Linked DNA regions of Schizosaccharomyces pombe. The gene in region 2 interacts genetically with the main gene of each other region. Each region holds a gene or a part of one and is shown on either strand. Other genes may lie near its edges.

Region 1 (7,139 bases), 1.4 Mb from region 2:
TCGAAGGACCGTGATTTTCTTAAAGAATGAGAAGAAATCAAGCTTAGACGAAGTAACCTGTATGTCACATTGTACATAGCAAGAAAAAAAAAAAATCAATAATGTTCCATAGAAATAAACCCTTAAACGTACTTCCTTCTTTTGTCTATTAAACAAATCCGAAAACCTATCGAGTTATGTAGTCAAAAGAGTGTAAAAACCCAAATATATATATATATATTTTTTTTCAAATTATATTTATAAATTTATTTCCTTTTTTTTAAAGAATAATCTTCTTCCTTGCGAACAACCAAAACAAATTAAAACCAAATGCGATGTTGTATGAGATTTACTTGTGAGCAGAAATATGCCCAAACTCCACGATATGTTAAGCAAATACACTTTCGTTTAGTTATATAGGATTTGCTAATTTACTATAACATGAGGCTGCCGTTCGTTGCATACGTTGTATGTGGAAGTTGAGCATAACTTGCTAAGCATGGGTATTACATATAAGTACACCTTTGTGGTACGCAATTTTTATATTGATAATAACAGCGTACAAAGTAAAAATTAGCACGAAAAGATGAAAGGCAATATATTCTTGTTCATATTACTATCGTATGGAGGCCAGGGGCTAAGCAGGCCTACCTAAACTACACAAATTCAAAAAAATATCCGCAAGTATCAGACATGTCTTATAAATATTAGATTAATAATTTAAACATCCAAAAACAATTATAAACTCATTACTAACCCTAGCGCAATCACCTTTTATGTAAACACTAGTCTAACTTAGTAAATAAACTTATGAAAAGAAACAAAGAGGGAAGGTCAAAGAATAAGCAGAAAACTAAAGATCAAACTTATTGAATAACAGAAGAAAAACGATAATAAGAAATCATAAAAATCATTAATTTACAAAAATTTTAGAAAAGTGAAGGTTCGGAAATTTGGAGTTCATGCGGAAATTGACAAATTATTCGGCCTGGACGGGGATTCATTTAAGTCCTGTGAGGTTGAGGAAGACAATAAAACCGAGTAAGGAAATAATTCAAATACAAATTGTTGAATCTGAACACGGTAATGGAATTTTCCCAGAATGGTCATACAAGCTTTCACCAAACGTTTAGAGGAGAAAACTTTAGCATTTTTCGAACGAATCTTTGTTAGTTGCCGTGCTGACTCGTTTGTTAAAACATGGTTTGACAAATTGGAAACGAGCCTAATTACCTCTCTCTCTGAGTTAGTTAAAGAGCTAAGTAATGAAGAAAACTCAGGAGTTGGCACGCGCTCATTTACAAACTCAACATTTCTCCTTGGAGTTGATAATACTTGTCCAGCATGTCTCGGAATGCAAATTCCTTGTGAAGTGCCCATTAAAGACATAAGGCTATACCAATGCAGTGATTCGAGTATCTCAACGCCTTTAGAAGTCCTGGAAATCAAGCCTAATACAAAATAAGCAGTTCCTCGAACAGTAGGAATCAATGAATTTTCGGCATATTTGACAATCAACGGTATCGTATCATGGTTAATTAAAAACGTAATACCCTGATCGGTTTTTCCAATGTTTCCTATAGCCCAAAGAGCACTCTTTAACTGCCTGATGGCTTCATTTCCTAACGGTTTATCGTAAAATTCCACCAAGGTACCCATAAAAGATTCAAAATGCCCAGAAGACTCGAGAACCTCACAACCTTGTGGAGATTTGACTAATTCGCCATAAAAGTGTAGGGGAAGTATATTTTCATCTGGTTCATTGTTTTTCTTGTCAATAATTTTGAGATTTGAAACAAAAGAAAGGAAAAAATTTTGCTCCAATAAATCCACGTAATCTATATTTCGATGATGGTACCAATTATCGAGTTCATGTTCAATAAAATTAATTTCAGAAAGGTAATGAAATCCGACAGTTGTAGCAAGAAAACGTAAAAGTAAAGGTGAGCCAATTTCACCCAAATGGGCCAATGAAGGTTGAAGCTGAACAACTTGAGCCAGCAAGTTTTCATTTCGAGCACAAACTTCATTCAACACCTTCACTGCTGTTTTACATACTTCCAAGCAAGGATCGTACAGTTGAAATATCAATAGAGAAATTGCCCAGTGATTTAAGTTGTCATTGGCAGACTCAGAATTGATTAAAGCCGCAAGATGCTTGGTTGCAGTTAAGCGTACAGCCTGTTGCCCGGTATTAAGCGCCTTAGAAAATATAATTCGTGTGTGCCCCTCTAGCCGATAATCAAGATTAGTCAGAAAAATAATTATGAGATCGTCTCTGTTCCTCAATTCTGTCAAATGGTAAAGTGTAGTAAAAATCCTCCATCGTTCCATAATTGCATGACCTTCCTTTTGGCTTGACAATACTTTTAACATAGGAAAGTAACCGTGGGTGAGGGTTTTCTGAAGCCTACTGTTCGAGAAAATCGGCTCAGAAACCTGTTCTGAATATCCGTCTATCTGGCTAAGAGATTCTGCTATTTGTTTAATCACTTTGCTTTCAGAAAGATATTTAACGCCTTCCGGATTGGCTAGTAAAGTCCTGAAAACAAGACAACCAACCTTTATAAATTTTTGATTTGGTTTAGTGTTTTGTATGGAAGAAAATCTGTTGGAAAAGGGTTTATAAAATGCTAAAAGCCGTCTCATAAATTTTGTGGTTCGCAAAGTTTCATCAATACGTTTCGGACTTAGCAATGGACCCTCCATAATTTGGACAAGTGTATCCCATCGCCATTTTTGATAGTTTTTTGTAGCTAACACGTTGGTTTCAGCTAGCATACTACGAAAATGTGAATCATCAATCTGCATGCCCATTTTCAATTTAACATGCTCAACCTGTCTTTGCCCCCGAAAAGATCCATCAGTTTTTTGCTCCTTAAAAAGAAGAGAGGTTGTCTGCGAGAAAGGTTGTGTTGCAGAATGGAATTTAACTCTATTCAAACTTTCAATGGATTGAAGAACAGAAGTGGCAACAAACCTGTCTTCGGCAGTAAATTGAGAAGCCATATTAAATAAAGATGGCAAGGATTGTATTTTGGCTCCTAAATGAATCGGCAGTAGCTCATCAGACAGCCTCAATACCTCTCCTAGAAGATATGTAGCTTTACGTGAGGCTGATGGGTCATCGCTGGCCCTAATCATACATACAATAGATTCAACCAAACCGAGCTCCAAAAATATAAATAATAAGACGGCTGTAAAATGTTGGCGTAGCGACATGTACTTTTTGTTGGAACCATCCGGTATATTAACCATGTTTATGTTATCATCATTAGATACAGCCTGATTTTTAACGACTGTTAATCGTTTTCCGGCCAAAAAAGACTCTGACCAACTTGAATACTCAACTTGGAAAATTAAAAAGAAAAGATCAATTACATCGCTTCGTGGAGCAAAGGATGGAACCCGAAGTGTATCAACAATCGACCGAAGAGCCTGAAAATCATTGGTAGACAAAGCCAATAATCCAGACCATGAATTAAGCAAAACAGAGGCAACTTTGGCGGAAGATTTCATGGCTTTTGCAGCTTGTTCAGACTGTTCCTCAGAGGAATTAAATGTATCTCGCGAAGAAGAACTAGTAAAAGGTGAAAGTAAAATGCCAATATCGTAGGGTAAATTTACGTAACAAGCGCTTTCAGGATCATCCAAAAGATATACTAATGCAAGTGCAGCACTAGCTGCTAAATTCTCAGAAATACTTCCATCGATTAGGGAGATCATTAAAACCCTTAAACCATTAGCTTTAAATAAAATTTTTGGTCGAATAATCATTAACTCGATAAGAGTTTCAACAGCAATTCCACGACTAACATCTGATACATGCTCACAAATTGAAATGATAGTCCTCGTAATACCTGAAAGATAATCCTCATGTCCTTCAGTTGATGAAAGAAAATAAAGAGTTCGGATTAGTCGGAATGCTTGCTCTCGTTCAATTTGATATGCATCGGTACCAGAAAGTAGAGACTTTGACAAGATCCAAGGTAAATTCAACATTTGACAACAAGAGAATGCTGTTGCGTCAAGAAACAAATGCCTTAGTAGTCTATAAACAGAAGCCGTAACTTCAGAGACATTCAACTCGAGCATTGAAAGTATGGTCGGAGTAATCAAGGAGAAGTTTTTTGCATAAGCGGGATCAGAATGTTCATGTAAGTATTCACATAAATTATTTGAGGAATCGATTACATCCTTCATACTGCCTTCAAGACAAGCCTTATATATATTATCAAGCCAAGGATTTAATGGAAATTGTGAGAAATTCGATTGCAAACTAGAAGGACGTTTTCCGTTAGGTTGAGTATCTTCAGAAGAAGAATTATTTTTTTCGTTGACATTTTCAAAGTCAATTCTTTGAATGACGGTAGGAGTTAAATTGCTATGCGCATTTCTGGTAGGACCTATTAATTCACCAGTCCCACTGACTGTAACACTGCAACTATCGCTACATCCTGCTTTGTAAGAAAATCTCGTACTATACTTTTCCTGCAATGAGCTCTTTCGACTGACAGTCGCAGAAGCAGACCTCGTGAGACTGGTTGAGCCAGTTTTTGCTTCACCATTTTCTCCTTGGAAAGATTCAATGCTAGAAACTAATTCCTCTATCTTTTTTTTAGATGATTCGAGCTCATCGGTACATTTCTTTTTTAACATTTCTTTACGTTCTTTTGTTTCTTTTTTAAAATTGGTGTCGAAGACTTGCAGCAACGTTTCAGCGCCATCCCGTATTTTGCACTCAACTTCGAGCTTTCCCTTCAAATCCTCAAGTAACTTGAGCCTTTTTGAATCAGTGGTATTCATTTTTTTGATAAAGTCACCATTAGTTTTGGCATGGGAACTTATATCCAAAGCAGTATCGGTTTGTCCCCTTCGCACAGGTTTCATGAGCACTGATCATTAAAAGCAGGAATAAAAAAGCTATCTCCTTCCATAAGCGCCTTCATGAAATAGCCTTATAAAGGGATAGTATGTTTTCGTACTAATACTTATTGCGTGCAACACGCGATTGCTTACTGGGCTAGTCAAACTCTCAATTTTTAAGCAATCTAGTAAAATTAAAGATATTAACACTTAAATAATAACTTAAGATTGTGAAGAGTCCTAAAATGATAATGCTTGCGAACTATGCTCGTATGCTCATGGATACCCCAACGGCTGAACTTAATCGGAGTTCTGTTACCGGCGTTAACGATTGTACGACATGGAGTGATGTTTCGCTATTAATGGGCAAAACAAATTTCCTTAGAATTCGCTAATAAATAATTAGATACTAGGTACTGGTTCACTAAAGAATCGAATCCTTAATGTTTACTTTACAGTCTCAAGATTGCTAGTTAACAGTATACGAAAACATGAAGGATAAATCAAAGCAAGAGAATAAGATGAGTAAATTATATTACTACAATCAACTATTAAAATTTGTTTATATTTTTATTTATGGAAACAAAAGGCTAAACAAAAAATGTTTTAACAGATATGCCCAAGCCAATATAGAATTAAAATGCCATTTTGAGATACAAATATTGCTTTCGAAACATTTCAAAAAAGATTTTTTTAAAACGAAACGATAATAAAAAAGACAGAAAAGAATCGAAAATAATGTGAAAAGATAGTAAACAAAAAAAAAATTTTAACGAAAAAATAAATATTGGTAACGTGGATAAACAACTTCATTCATTTACCAAATCTCCTTTATGTATTTAAGGTTAAGTGGACTTTGCCAAAGAGCAAGTTGTTGGGTAGCTTCCAGCCTGCTCATTTTTCCGTATTGAACGCAAACATCAATCAAGGCATTTTCAACACCATCTAAAAATCCCTTTTTACCACCACAAAGATAAACCTTCCCATGAGGATGACTAAGAACACTCCATACAATGTCACCACGGTGTCGAATCTCGTCCTGTACATAGGCATGTTGGTGAGAACGTGATTCAACAACAAGATGGTTGGGGCCACTAGTACCGTCTTTTTTAACTTCGAAGGAATCCATTTCAGTTTCGGTTTGTTGGCTGACTGTAGAAGATGCATCATCGTCTGAAGACTTTTGAAGCGGGTTTTCCCACTCACCATGATAGAGCTCATCCAATTCTTGGTCGCGGCATCCATGGAAAACCCAAACTTTACCAGCACAAGTGGCATTTGTAAGACGTCGTTGCACAAAACCTCTAAAGGGAGCAACACCTACACCGGCACCGATTAGGCACATAGGGCCATCAGAAGCAAAATGTGTGGCAAATGCGTTTTTGTGCAGACCGCGGTACATTGGAAGGACGAGATCTCGTTCACCATTTAAAAATCTCAATGCCAATCTTTTCAAAAAACCAGAACCAATACCAGAACGAGTGCCTCCTTCAACTTTATTGATTTCAACAACTGTAACCGCAAATTCCAATACATTATTACTGACCTTGGGATCGTTTGACAAAGAATACCATCTAGGCATAAGCTGGGGAAGCACGGTTAAAAGGTGATCAAGAGGAAGTTGAACACTAGGGAAAGCCTTTAGCAGAGTGATAAGTGTAACGTTGTGGTCCCTTAAATCACAGAAAGCACGTTGTCCCAAACGACTGACCAAAAACAACAAAACTTGCCGCTCGGTATCATCCTTGGCGTATTCGGCAAGTAACCGAATAAGCTGCTTTTTTGGGGCGACAGACATAAACTCCACGGTCCATTTAAGAAGCTCACGCCTGGTTGTAACGAGTTCTCTAGGTGTGTCTTCTGCCCAGATGGTGGGCCAACGACCTCCATCGGTTTTTAAAAGGACAGGGGCATCTGCCTGGTCGGGATTGATATGAAGTAATTGTAAAAGCTCATCCACATCCTCTTCGTTGTTGGGAGCCATTACACCAAACGACCCTCCAACCATCCACTCTTCGCCTTCAGGAAGGGGATAGTTGGAAACGTCTAGTTCAAAATGGAACACACGTTTGACAGCACCTGGTTTAGTGAGCTCACGAACGTCTAGTATAGGGGCGGGAAAGACACTGAACGGAGGGTGTGGTTGAACATAGTGAGGAGGCATTCTAGAAGGAGTTGAATGAATTTGAAAGTTGGGGTCTTCTTTGGCACGAGCCTCATCGATATCAATCAAAGAGACATGATTCTCGGGAACTTTGGGAATTCTGTCAAGAGTAATATTTTCATGTAGAAGA
Region 2 (4,361 bases):
CTCCCCGTAAGATTGAGAGCGCTCCCAAAAATGCTCACACTGAGGAATGTGTTTTGGCAACTGTCGATCCTACTGAGAAGGTTCGCATTGACAATAACGTGGACCCCACTACTGCCACTTCGATGGATGAAGATGAAGATGAAGAAGGTGGACACCCCGGTGTTCAATGTGCTCAACAGTAAACCTGTCTTATTCTGAATTTCTTTTCATTCATTTTTTCAAAATTGACAGCATTTGGATTCGTTATCCTTTTAAGAAGAGCCTAGACAATTATTTGTTTTCAGATGTTCCTAATCTTTTCCTTAGGTTTCGAGTTGCTATTGCATGTATACCTTATTCTCTTGTTCCTTTTTTTCATCCTGTAAACTCATTCCCCTCATTTGGTGTTAGTTTTCTTTTATCTCATAAAGATGTTTGATATCTAGCTTCGGCATATCTAACATACTTGCCTTTGATAGTTATTCTCTCGGTTCTTATCTTGGTCTTTATACTTCGTTAATACGCTGCTTCAATAAATATAATGACTGCAAAAAGTCGATTTATAAATATGAATACATAAATTAGATCTTGCTTGCTTTGTTTGTAAAATTTTAGTATTTGTGAGACAATTACAATTACGGCTTTTGGAAAAAGTAGTAAATAATTTTTGATGCGCTTCTGCACTTTGAATTGTCTGCGAACTAAAATTATGTTTATTCACTCTACTTATCGTTGCAATACAATTCAAGTGGGGGATGCTACTAAATTGTAACTGTAAATACAAAATCGTAAAACTTGAAGAATATACCTTGAAAAAATTTTACTCTCGTTTTCTTACTAAACTATCATCCCTGGGTGATATGCGTTAGAATCCGATCTTTGTCAATAAAAAAGTTCAGACGGTCTTCCCGGTAATCTCTTGTCAACAATGTGTCAGGAGATACCACCCTATAAATAGGAGGCCAAAGTTTAATCTCGTCAACTTTATGTCCGATGAATGAAGAGTAGTCATCAACTGCGGCAGGTTTAGTTGCTCGTGCTTTTTTGTTTGCCAAGATGTAAACGGGCTGTGCTGGATTTCTTATGGAGATTTCTCGCGGTATGTGATTACTTAACCATTTTGGAAGGATGGGAATTTTCGTGTTGGAATTAACGGATTCTATAACATCAAAAGTATCATTATATGATTCGGGATCTTCGGTGATTAAATAGTCGAATTGGGAAATAAATAAAGAATTTGAAAGCATTTTAGGATCCTCAGTTTTGTCATAGTACCACGATGGAAGCTGTGAAAATCGAGTTATACCTGTCATACACGGATATACATCCATGTGTACAGAAACTAAGTACGTTAGAATAATCTAATTGGTGAAAAAGTTGAACTTACCTTGGGGATGATTTTCAATTTCATATAAACGAGTTAATGCTAGACCACCAGGGTAAGCGTATTGAAAAACATATAACAAAAAACTGCTTCCAATAAACCCGAAGATTATCCCCGAAAAAAACATTAACCTTAGAATTTCAAATATTTTCTTGCCAAATTTACTGGCATTAAAGCATAAGGAAGCCCCAATTGCACTAGCTGCGTTAAACCAAGGGATCGAATAGATAATAAAGCGCCATTCTTTATGGCCTAAAAATGAATAAACAAATATAAAGAAAAGGGGAACATATATTAAAAGACGAGCAGGCTTGATGTAAACAAAGCTGATTAAAAGGAAGAGCAATGTCGTGGGATTGAGAAATAGCCAAGGAAGTCTCACAAAGTAGTAGTAAAAAGGGCTTGTTCCCCAATCTGAAGATTTCCCTTCAACAACATTGAATAAGAAAGCTTCTAATTCAGGCCAACACCAAGCCCCCCAGAAATAGGAATCAATGAGAAAAGAAGCTCCCACTGCTGCTAATGAAGAAGAAATACCAACGAGTAGCAATTTTGATAAAGTAATCCTCCTCTGAAGCAATAATGGTAGAATCAAACACATTAGAAGTAAAGCTATTTCGGACCTAACAATCGCTGCGGCAAAAACTAAAATACTGATAGAGCCGTAATAATTATTTTTAAGTAACAAAGAAAGAGAGTGGTTCGTAGCTATTAGTCCGAAAATATTTGACAATGGTCTGGACATATAGTACACGAGGTGAAATTGAGCGCAGCTAAACAGTATAAACAGTGCTCCAGACAATGTGCCGAATCGTTTGCTAATGGAGCAGCTTACAGAATTCATACTCTCCCAACTTAAATACCCAATTGTCCATCTAGCGGCAAGTAATGGATTAACAAACCAAGAAGGTATATAGGACAAAACTGCTATAAACAAACTCGGTATGAAACTCCGTTTAACGGCTCCTGGAAACTCCAGATGATCATACTAAAATATGTGAGTAATTTAAATAAGGAAATAATTATCAACTACTACCTTTGACAAATCCCAACGATACGTCTGAATGTCATGAATCGCTTGCATAGCAAACGACTCTTCTACCTTTGTAAACGGAGTTTTGTACGAATAATACCCTATGCATGTCACAAGCAAAATATTTGCCAAATACCAACAAATGCTCTCTTTAGAAGTCATCCCGCTTCATCATTTATTGAAAGCATACAAATAGTTATTGGAGAAAGAGCAAAGGTGAATGAATATACGTAAATAAAGCAACGATTAATTTTGCTAAATCTAGTTTAAGGAGATTCAAGGTAATGATTTATTTGTTATAAACAAGGGTTGTTCGCTGCACTGTCTTCTAACTTTGCATCTTTGTGTACGTTAAGTATCTGCTTCTCCTCTTTTAATCGAACATTTTATATGTTAAATTTTAATTACCTCTACTATTTGCAAAACGAAATTCACATCTTTCATCAAAATTTAATTATTCCTTCTGTTTAGGGAAACTTTGAAAGAATACAACGATCCTCGTTAACTGATTTACCATGGTAGTTTAACGTATAGCGTTTTGGAGGAATATTCATTATAGAAAACGTGCTATTATAATTAAGGTGAGAGATATAATTGCATTTCATTTATTATTTAAACTAATTTTTCTTCTTATCGTTCCTGAAAATCGTTGCTAGTACGGTCTATAGAACGATAGATTCGTCGGTTCCAATAGCATGCTTTACCACGGGTATACACCAAACCTCCCCCCATATCATTACGAAACAGGAATCAATAAAAGCTAACGTCAATTGAACATTATGCTTCGTCAAACGCTAACTCAGGCGTCTCGGATGCGTCCTTGTATATCTGTAGTTGGATTTCGGGGTTTTCACGCTAGGTATGTTGTTTAGGTTTACTTTTTGTGATTCACAAACATATTCGAAGTTGAATGCATTTTTTCTAACGATTTTTTATAGTTCTCCTTGTGAGGCAACGCTAAAAGAGATTGAACAAAGGCTGAAGTCTATTAAGAACATTGAAAAGATTACCAAGACCATCAAAACTGTAGCTCAAACTAAGCTTACTAGGGCTCAACGTGCTATGGAAGCTTCTAACAAATACTATCGTGTATCTGATGAAGTGTTTAAGGAGGCTGGAACTAAAGCACCTGAGGAGGGTAAAACTCTTATGGTTGCTTGCTCTAGTGACAAGGGTCTTTGTGGTGGTATTCATTCTTCAATCTCTCGTCTTATCCGTAGAGAACTACATGATCCTAAGACATTTGAGAACACAAGTTTGTGTATTTTGGGAGAAAAAGTTCGCACTCAATTACTTCGTTTCTGTCCCGAATCTTTCTACTTGACTTTTGCACACATTGGTGGAGCTAGTCCTTCTTTTGAAGAAGCTTTACAAATTTCTAGTAACATTTTGGAACATGCTAAAGACTATGATAGAATTGTTCTCGTCTATAACAAGTTTGCTTCCGCTGTCTCGTTTGAAACTGTGATGAAGAACTTGTATACAACTAAGGCCATCAATGAATCCCCCAATCTCTCTGCATACGAGGTAAGTGATGAAGTCCATCAACCACTCATGGAATTTGCATTTGCCAATGCTATTTTTTCTGCCATGGCGGAAGCTCATTGCAGTGAAATGTCATCTCGTCGTAACGCCATGGAAAATGCAAGCAAGAGTGCTGGAGATATGATTAACAAGTTTTCCATCCAATATAATCGTCAACGTCAAGCCTCCATTACTAACGAACTTATCGATATCGTTACTGGTGCAAACTCTTTGGCTTAATTCTTGATCTCTTTGGTAAGGTTCAAATGCATGTTAAGATTTTTAAATTAAAGAAGTTTGTGAAATATAAGCGCTGAAGTCAACGATATTTCTTGTCTATTTAGCTTAACTTTTTACCTTTATACCATTTGAACCGTAATTCATTGAAAACGTTCAGATTAAGCTTACCTTTTGTTCTTAATAAATTTACGTCCATCTTTT
Region 3 (3,351 bases), on a different chromosome or scaffold from region 2:
CAAGCCTTAGTAATTCCGCATCCTCTATAGCATCCATGTCATTATAAAAATCCCTTGGTTTTCCAATTTTAGAAAATATTCTATTCATCCAAGCCTTTCCAAAGGGAAAAATCTCGACTCTATTCTTTAATATTTTATAATAATGTAAACAATATTTTCGGGTAACATCTTTTACATACCCATTAGCCTCAATAGCAAATACATAAGTCATTTGATTTAGATGGTCACTGGAAGCCGGTTCAAACCTTCTGTACTTGCCAATGACACTAGCATCACCAAATGGATCAACACAAACCCATTTTTGCATAGCTTTATTAAAAGCCTCTACCCAAAAAACCGGTTTGGGAGAATCAATTACCTTTAGTTTTGTATCTTCTGTAACAATATCTGAGGCATCAAGATGTGAAAGATTTGAAAAAGAAGGCTGTATGATTTTCCTACGTTTGCGAAATCTAGAAGTAATGTGTGCACTTTCAGAGATATCGCTAGATGAATCATTTTCCATTTGCTGAGACCATGCCGGAACAATTTCATGACTACTTGCTTCATTTATGGCACCTTTAAATCGAAAAGATAAAACTTGTAGTGAAAAAACTAGTCTAGTTGGAACGTTTAAATTACGAAGAATAGATGCAAATAACTGGGTTCCATAATCTCTACTACCGGAAAGCAATTTTGAGTTTTTACAAAACTCCTCAAGGGATAAAGATTCAGAGATGAGGCTATTGTTTTGTAGTAAACCATAATTCGGTTTTCTTAATCCATTGGTAGTGATTTTATATTTCCGTTTCCAAACTTCGACGAGTCCAGCCAACCCGTGTAGGAAAGTTTTGTTCCGAATCATTTGTGACTTTTGAGAAGAGGGATGAAGCGAGACACGTATACCAGGAGGAATATATTTCACAAGATAATTTAGTCTATTGTCATCGCACCAAGTGTTTCGTGTGCAAAGATGATAAGTCAAACAGAGTAAGTGTAACTGATGAATTTGAAGACGAATCTTTCTATCAACGGAAGTGATCTTTAAGCGGCTACGTTTTTCAACCGTTCGATCAACGGTGGCCTCAACGTCTCCAAAATCATGAGTTGGTCGTTCTTGAATCAACCTTTCACCATGTACGGCGGATGAAAGGAGCGAAGAATTTAAAATAGGTGCAGTTTTAATATCATTATTAGGGAGACCAAGATCTAAATCTAACCATTCTTCATCATCACTATAGGTATTATCTTCGTCACTCATCATAGCATTTATATTTGATAGAAGCCAACTTTTTTCAGTATTAAGACTCGTTGCGCCCTTATTCTATTATATTATTTTAAAAAATGAAACATAAAAAACCAATGAAACGTTTTTGAGATGCGTAACTCTTTAAAAACACTAGGGAGCACGAGTTTATAAAGATACTTCAATTAAGTAGAATATAAGAAAATGTTTTGACCATTAATAATGCACGTAACACATGAGAAAAAGATTTGTATTTATTGATACGAAAAGTAGTTCATAACGTTAAGAAAAACAAATTCCTTTTCTATTAAAATCATAGCTAACGTTGAATTTGTTTATATACAGCGTTGTAGTGAAACCAAAAATCGCCGTTAGAGTACATTATATTTTAAGTTAGAAGTTTGCGTTGCATTTTGGTAAACGGCATATCTTTGAGGTAGCGATATGGCTACTTTGCAACTTCAATCTTTAGCATTGCACAGGCTATTCGAATTTCAAATTGCCTTTTTCAAGGGTTTACTATCTCTATCCTATATAAATTTCGTTAAATTTCTTTTTATCAAGAATTGAGGCTCGTTTATCCGGTCATAACTTTTGGTAGCTTTAAAAGGTCTCTTTGTTTAGGATAGAATAGAATTTGCTACCGTTCTCTCACGAGAGCTTAAAGATGGTAGGCACTTCTTCTTTAGATATTTCAATGAGCGGTAGCTCAAGTTCGGACGCAGAACAATGGGAGAAACAGACAAAAAGTGTCCATATCGATAATTCGTAAGTAACTGAAATAGTTGCTTCGCTGAACGTTACTGATGGTTACTAATCATTGCTTGTACAGAGACGTGAATTCGCTGATTTTAGATTATTTGGTGATTCAAGGTGACGAAGAAGCCGCAAAAACATTTGCTGAAGAAGCTCAAATTACGGATTATTATATTCCTCCATATGTAAAAGAACGTTTAGAGATTTGCGAGTTAATTAAATCAGGTTCAATTAACTCTGCAATATGCAAACTGAATGAATTGGAGCCAGAGGTATGCTGAAAGCAAGTAAGGATTACGAGTTAACAGCTACATAGATTTTGGACACAAATTCAGAACTTCTGTTTGAATTATTACGATTGAGATTGCTTGAATTGATACGAGAAGTTGTTGAAGAGAAAGATACCTCTGATTTAGCGGTAGAAAGATGTTTAAACTTTGCACATGAAAATTTAGCACCTTTAGCACCCTCAAATCAAAAGTTTTTGAATTCTTTAGAGTTGACAATGTCGCTTTTATGTTTTCCTCCTTCTTCCTACAGCCCTGCCTTGAAAAATGTTTTGAATTACAGCCAACGTGAGCGTGTTGCAAACCTTGCCAACGTTAGTATATTGAAGTCTCAAGGATTATCAAATGAGTCTAGGTTGTTGTCTTTGGTAAATTTTGAGCGCTGGTGTGAAAAAGAGGCACAAAGGAATTCGATTGAAGTGCAGAAATTTGTGCCCAAAGCATCCATAAAATGATTACTTTTTACGACCTTCCTCAGTTTATGCATTTATGTCTGTTACATCCATTTAACATAAGAACTTTTTTCGTATTGTTCTCACTAATGATAATTAAATTATTGAACTCACAAATGATAATATGACATTCAATTAACAAAGCCAATTTTTGTTGTTAAGCAACATCGTATAGTATCAAGTTACTGACAAGCAAAGCAAACACAACTTTTCCTTTTAAAAGTAAGGAGGGAATTTAATGGGTTATTAAATTAGCAATATTTTTTCTATGGCGAATAATTTGATTTTCTTCATTGGTAATCATAGATAACTGTAGCGAGATGCCTTTCGTTCTCGCAAATTAAGATTGTTTAGGCTAAAAAAAAAGGTTAGAATTGGATATAAACAAAAGTGTTCCAAAACTGAAAACTTACCAAATTTCAAAATTGAGCGTTTGTCGCTTTTCCAAAAAACTAGAAGTTTCCAACAACATATTGATATTAGGGCCTTGTAATGTTTCGGCTTGCAAGGTTTGTAAAAGGAATTCCTTAAATTCTTGGCTAATTAATCCACGAACTCGGTTGACTAAAACATTTGCATTCGGAGTTAGTTGGATGGATTGAATAGATTTACGAAAAAAGTTTGGCTGACC
Region 4 (4,460 bases), on a different chromosome or scaffold from region 2:
GGATAGGGTATTTACTTTTGGTAGTAGGATGATATTTCAATCGGTGAATTAAAACCCTAGTAGCGTTGAAGTAGTAATCCTCTTCAGTAGAAGGCATAGTAAACAAACTCATATACGTATATTTGCCAGGCTCTTCTTTTAAGACGGCATTATCATTTTCCTCAACAAAGTTGTTTTTTAATGAAGTAAGCCGGTCATTAAGGGTTTGCTTATAATCGTGTCCGTTAAACACTAAGGTTGTCATCACAATAATCAAAACCACAGAAAACAACAGGAATTTGTAACGCGGAAGAGATAAAAAATTTGAAAGTGAAATTCGAGACATGATAAGAGATTAATTCAACGAACCGCTGAAACAATAGAATTTGAGACACGTGAAATTTTCGAAAGCCTTAAAAAAATGAAAAAAGGCTCTAAAGATGACTCCCTTTATGAGGATGTTACCCTCTAAAATTTATTTATTTCTTTTACCCTTAAACGACTTGCGTTAACAACCCTTTAAAGAAAAAATATCCGAGATTTATGTTTCATCACGCGGGTTGCTCTGCATTTGTCAATTTATTACCAGCACGTTGTTTGTACCATGTGCCGCGCTATATTCAGTTACAGTATTGTAATTCAAATTGTGGAATTGCCTTTTACAAATCCTAACGCTTTGTTTTTTCACAATCATCTTAGTTTGTGTGTAATGGTGTCAACTTTCGAGCTATCTGGATGTTGAAAATTATGAGCTTAAGCATGTAATAGAAATTGACACTAATGAATTAATTTGGTGAAGTTGTTTCAAACAGTGAAAAATCTGACTGTTAGCTGGAAAAGTATTGGAAATACCATTTAGCTTATTGGTAAAGTAAATATTGTGTAAATTTAACGAAATATATTTTGTCGATAAATCTATTCAAATATTCTTTCTCCTTGACCTGATAGACCTCATTAATCGGAAAATGCTTCTAGGTTTGTAAAGACACAAGTGTAAACAGTGGGTGCACAGACGTAATGGAACCACCGTTAAAAAATACATCTTTTAGACTTAGCAACTAATCTATATCTTTATAAGGCCAAAAGCCAGTGTAATCAATATAAAATAAGGACATACCAATACTTTGTAGGGCCAAAAAACAAGATAAATAAAAACTTAGTATAATCCGACACGAATGATTCAATAAAACTTCTATCAGCATTTAACAGAAAATGGCAGCTGCGGTGAAATGCAAATTATTAAAAAGATTTATTAACGCCAAACTGTTATTCCAATCTTCAATATTGCATTGGTAAATTGCCAAAGCAAATTAGTTGAACCAACAGAAACAGCTTCAAAGTCAATGTGAAATATATACAATATATAACAATTATTGATGGACGATTGTGTAAAACAAAACTCCCAGATATCTCGCTATAAAAAACTAACCTGAAACTTTGATTGCTATGGCACAACCGCTATATTAATTAGGTATGTAAAGATTAAAAAATAGTAAACATTATTAGAGATTCAGATAAAGAAAGGAAGATTGACGGAAAATTATACGGCGCTTTGTTTATATATATAAAATTTTTTAAAACACAAACAAATTAAACAGACGGATATAATGAATAAGCAACTTAGTCAATCAAGGCGTAAAACTTTTGCCATAGTTCATCGCAGCGGTTTTCAACCCAACATCCAGCAAAGTGAATTACCAAATCACCTTTTTGCCATTCCATATTTTCCGGACCTTCGTGAAAAGCATTTATTTTTCTTTGAGGAATAAGGCCAACCAGCGAAGCAAGTTGTGAATGCTTAGAAATCAAATATCCAAGCATGTCTTGTTCATTATTGGCTTTCGCACATTCTGCAACAACAGGATCTGTCCAAATATCCAAAAACAAGGCAGTAGCAGGTGAATTACGGAACAAGATACTACCTGCGTTTAATCCATTGTGATCCTGTGAGATTATGACCATGAGATTTTCGATATCTTTTAAACTATAATTACTTGGTGTATAACGCAAATCCCCGTTAGCATTTATAGGCCGTTTAGTGAGGATGGTATTAGTAATTAAGGTCTTTTGCAAGTTCTCAGGTTTCAAAAAGGAGTCTTGAAGGGAAAGATGGGTATTAGTAATAATTGCATCCTGATCCAACAACCAGATCCATTCCGCTTTGGGGTATTTCTTCATAGTTTGTAAGACGGCGGGCATCTTGGACCAAACGGCGGGAATAGGGAGGCCAGTAACATTGACATACTCAAAGTTGTAGTTTTGTTTGGTACTATAGTCAACTCTGTTCTGTATAGCTTCTTCAAACGTATTAGCTCCATTATTGTAAGAAGTGTGTCCATCACTAACTAGTAATAAGACAATATTTTGACTGGCAGGATTTTGCTGAGGCTCTGACTCGTATGACGCCTCGTGGAATGTAGTGCTTGTGGCCACCAAATGAGAGTCTAACGGCGCCAACTCAAACGAGTGATTAACGGATGGAGTGCCAATAGCATCGGAGAGCATGGGTGCAATTTGCTGATCATACAACTGGTTAACCTTCGACACCAAATCAACGTCCACAAAATATATCAACGAGTATAGAAACGCGCCAGCAATCAAGCCGACCGTTAAAAATAAGAAAAAAAAACGACGTGGAATCCTGGATAACATAAGTGCCATCTTTAGGTTATAACAATTCTTCAGTAAATCAATTAGAAATAATGAAACAATAACTGGAAAACTTTTTTTGAAAAAAAGGCTTTTCCGAAATCTTAAACAACCACTAAATCAGATTGTATTAAGGTCTTATCGAAACGACCTATAAAATAACGAACGAAATCTCGAGATATAAAAATAAATCAAAGGGTTAGAGGTATATGCTGATGGTAAAAAAAAGCTTCCTGATTGTCTTAATGAGGCTGAATACGCGTTAAGCTTCCTTTGACTAGCTATCGTTAATTTTTTAAAGGCTTTGTTAAATATTTTATTAACGTCGGCTCCTTTGCCGATGGTAGAGACAACCGTAACCTTGCCTAAATTTTTATAACCCAGCAACCGGCACGTTACTTGCTTATAAAACTTTCTACGGGTAGCTATTAGAAAAATGAAATTTATGGAATGAAAACTTAGCTAAAATATTCGGATTTAATTTTGTGTCACTGATTTCATCAAAATATCTTGACCTTATTAAACAACTACTTCGACTTTTCAACAAAGAGAGAGGCTGACCAATATAGTTGAATTATACACATCGCTTTCTTTCTGTGACCGGATTTCCATCACAATCGCTACTACTATTTAACAAGGTTAACAATAATAAAAAAATCGAATAAAAGTTAACAATTATACCTATCTCTAATATACTGAACAAAACATTAGCCAGCCTTTACACTGCAGCAGCTAAAACTTATATTCCCTTGCCCATGATACTCAGCAACAACATCATGAATACAAAAAAGTAAGTCATCCAAGGAAATTTATGAGTTCAAAAAATGGAATAAAGTATTACACATTCACTACTTTAGATTGTATAGCTCCAGGGTAAACTGTCGTTCCTTAATACTTTTGTTACTTATGCACCGAATTCGACTATTTCGCATTCATTAGTGATAGACGTGAATCAACAAATCCAAGGGGTGTAGATAGTTTATAATTTATCTTGTAACGCAGTTTGTTTATCACATACTCTCTTAGAATTTGACAGTCATGACAACGACCACGGTAGCAATTGCATTTCATATGCATAATATGAAAATACTTTTTTTTTACGATAGCTTTTAATCGGCTTGGTGAAACCGTTGTTAATATTCAAACAACATTTTGATGTCTTCAATTGACTGAACCTGCTGCTTTCCTTCCGACATGCCCAGGGTCCCAGTAATAAAATTTTTGCGTTCTTGTATTTTGAGCATCCTTTCCTCAACAGTATCACGTACAATATATCTCGTCACAAATACAGGCTTTTCCTGTCCTAAACGATGAATACGATCGATGGCCTGTGCTTCCACTGACCAGCTCCACCATGGATCCATAATAAAAACATGGTTGGCACAAGTAAGGTTTAAACCAACCCCGCCTGCCTTTAAAGAGATAATCAGCACGTTAACATCAGGATCATTTCGAAATGTCTCTAAAGCCGTCGACCTCATTTGTTGTGACATGGTACCATCGAATCTAGCATACCCCATCTTCTCTGACTCGAGAACGTCTGCGATAATATCCAGGAATGTGGTAAACTGTGAAAAGATAACGACCTTTTCAGGTTCAGAACTATGAGTTAATTGACGCAATTGTCCTAAAAGGCCATTAAGTTTCACTGATTGTAGCCTATTCCAATATTTCCATTTTACTTCCTCACCGACTAAAAGCGTAGACTGTGTTCCGTTATTTTTGACAAAAAAAGGTTTATAGACATCTTGCTCATTGAAGGGTTGACGACATGTATGACAAAGCGGAGGAATTATGTTTCTTCTTTTTTGATACTGAATATGTTCTGACAA

The links.
Region 1: mutations in alg12 (region 2) and ste20 together harm fitness more than expected from each alone (negative genetic interaction), as found in Schizosaccharomyces pombe (one large-scale study listed by BioGRID).
Region 3: mutations in alg12 (region 2) and gid8 together harm fitness more than expected from each alone (negative genetic interaction), as found in Schizosaccharomyces pombe (one large-scale study listed by BioGRID).
Region 4: mutations in alg12 (region 2) and gmh2 together harm fitness more than expected from each alone (negative genetic interaction), as found in Schizosaccharomyces pombe (one large-scale study listed by BioGRID).

What each region holds. Positions count from the first base shown.
Region 1 is NC_003423.3:2,473,869-2,481,007, reverse strand, and holds ste20 (target of rapamycin complex 2 subunit ste20), read right to left. Parts: upstream 5,130-7,139; 5' UTR 4,870-5,129; coding exon 940-4,869; 3' UTR 546-939; downstream 1-545. Other genes in the region: SPOM_SPBC12C2.01C (uncharacterized protein), read right to left, coding at 1-77; SPOM_SPBC12C2.03C (methionine synthase reductase), read right to left, coding at 5,663-7,139. UniProt on the Schizosaccharomyces pombe protein: Component of TORC2, which regulates multiple cellular processes to control cell growth in response to environmental signals. TORC2 is required for cell survival under various stress conditions.
Region 2 is NC_003423.3:1,082,761-1,087,121, forward strand, and holds alg12 (dolichyl-P-Man:Man(7)GlcNAc(2)-PP-dolichyl-alpha-1,6-mannosyltransferase), read right to left. Parts: upstream 2,595-4,361; 5' UTR 2,559-2,594; coding exon 2,400-2,558; exon of another isoform or gene 2,352-2,399; coding exon 1,367-2,351; intron 1,322-1,366; coding exon 825-1,321; 3' UTR 556-824; downstream 1-555. Other genes in the region: DNAJ domain-containing protein Mas5, read left to right, coding at 1-182; F1-ATPase gamma subunit atp3, read left to right, coding at 3,176-3,255, 3,335-4,160. UniProt on the Schizosaccharomyces pombe protein: Mannosyltransferase that operates in the biosynthetic pathway of dolichol-linked oligosaccharides, the glycan precursors employed in protein asparagine (N)-glycosylation.
Region 3 is NC_003424.3:4,594,547-4,597,897, forward strand, and holds gid8 (ubiquitin ligase complex subunit protein), read left to right. Parts: upstream 1-1,695; 5' UTR 1,696-1,892; coding exon 1,893-1,993; intron 1,994-2,057; coding exon 2,058-2,253; intron 2,254-2,297; coding exon 2,298-2,723; 3' UTR 2,724-2,834; downstream 2,835-3,351. Other genes in the region: DNA repair protein Rhp41, read right to left, coding at 1-1,243; tea5 (serine/threonine protein kinase Ppk2), read right to left, coding at 3,021-3,075, 3,134-3,351. UniProt on the Schizosaccharomyces pombe protein: Component of the GID E3 ligase complex recruiting N termini and catalyzing ubiquitination of proteins targeted for degradation.
Region 4 is NC_003424.3:167,211-171,670, forward strand, and holds gmh2 (alpha-1,2-galactosyltransferase Gmh2), read right to left. Parts: upstream 2,846-4,460; 5' UTR 2,641-2,845; coding exon 1,600-2,640; 3' UTR 556-1,599; downstream 1-555. Other genes in the region: alpha-1,3-galactosyltransferase Otg1, read right to left, coding at 1-325; ATP-dependent chromatin remodeller/ubiquitin-protein ligase E3 Rad8, read right to left, coding at 3,762-4,460.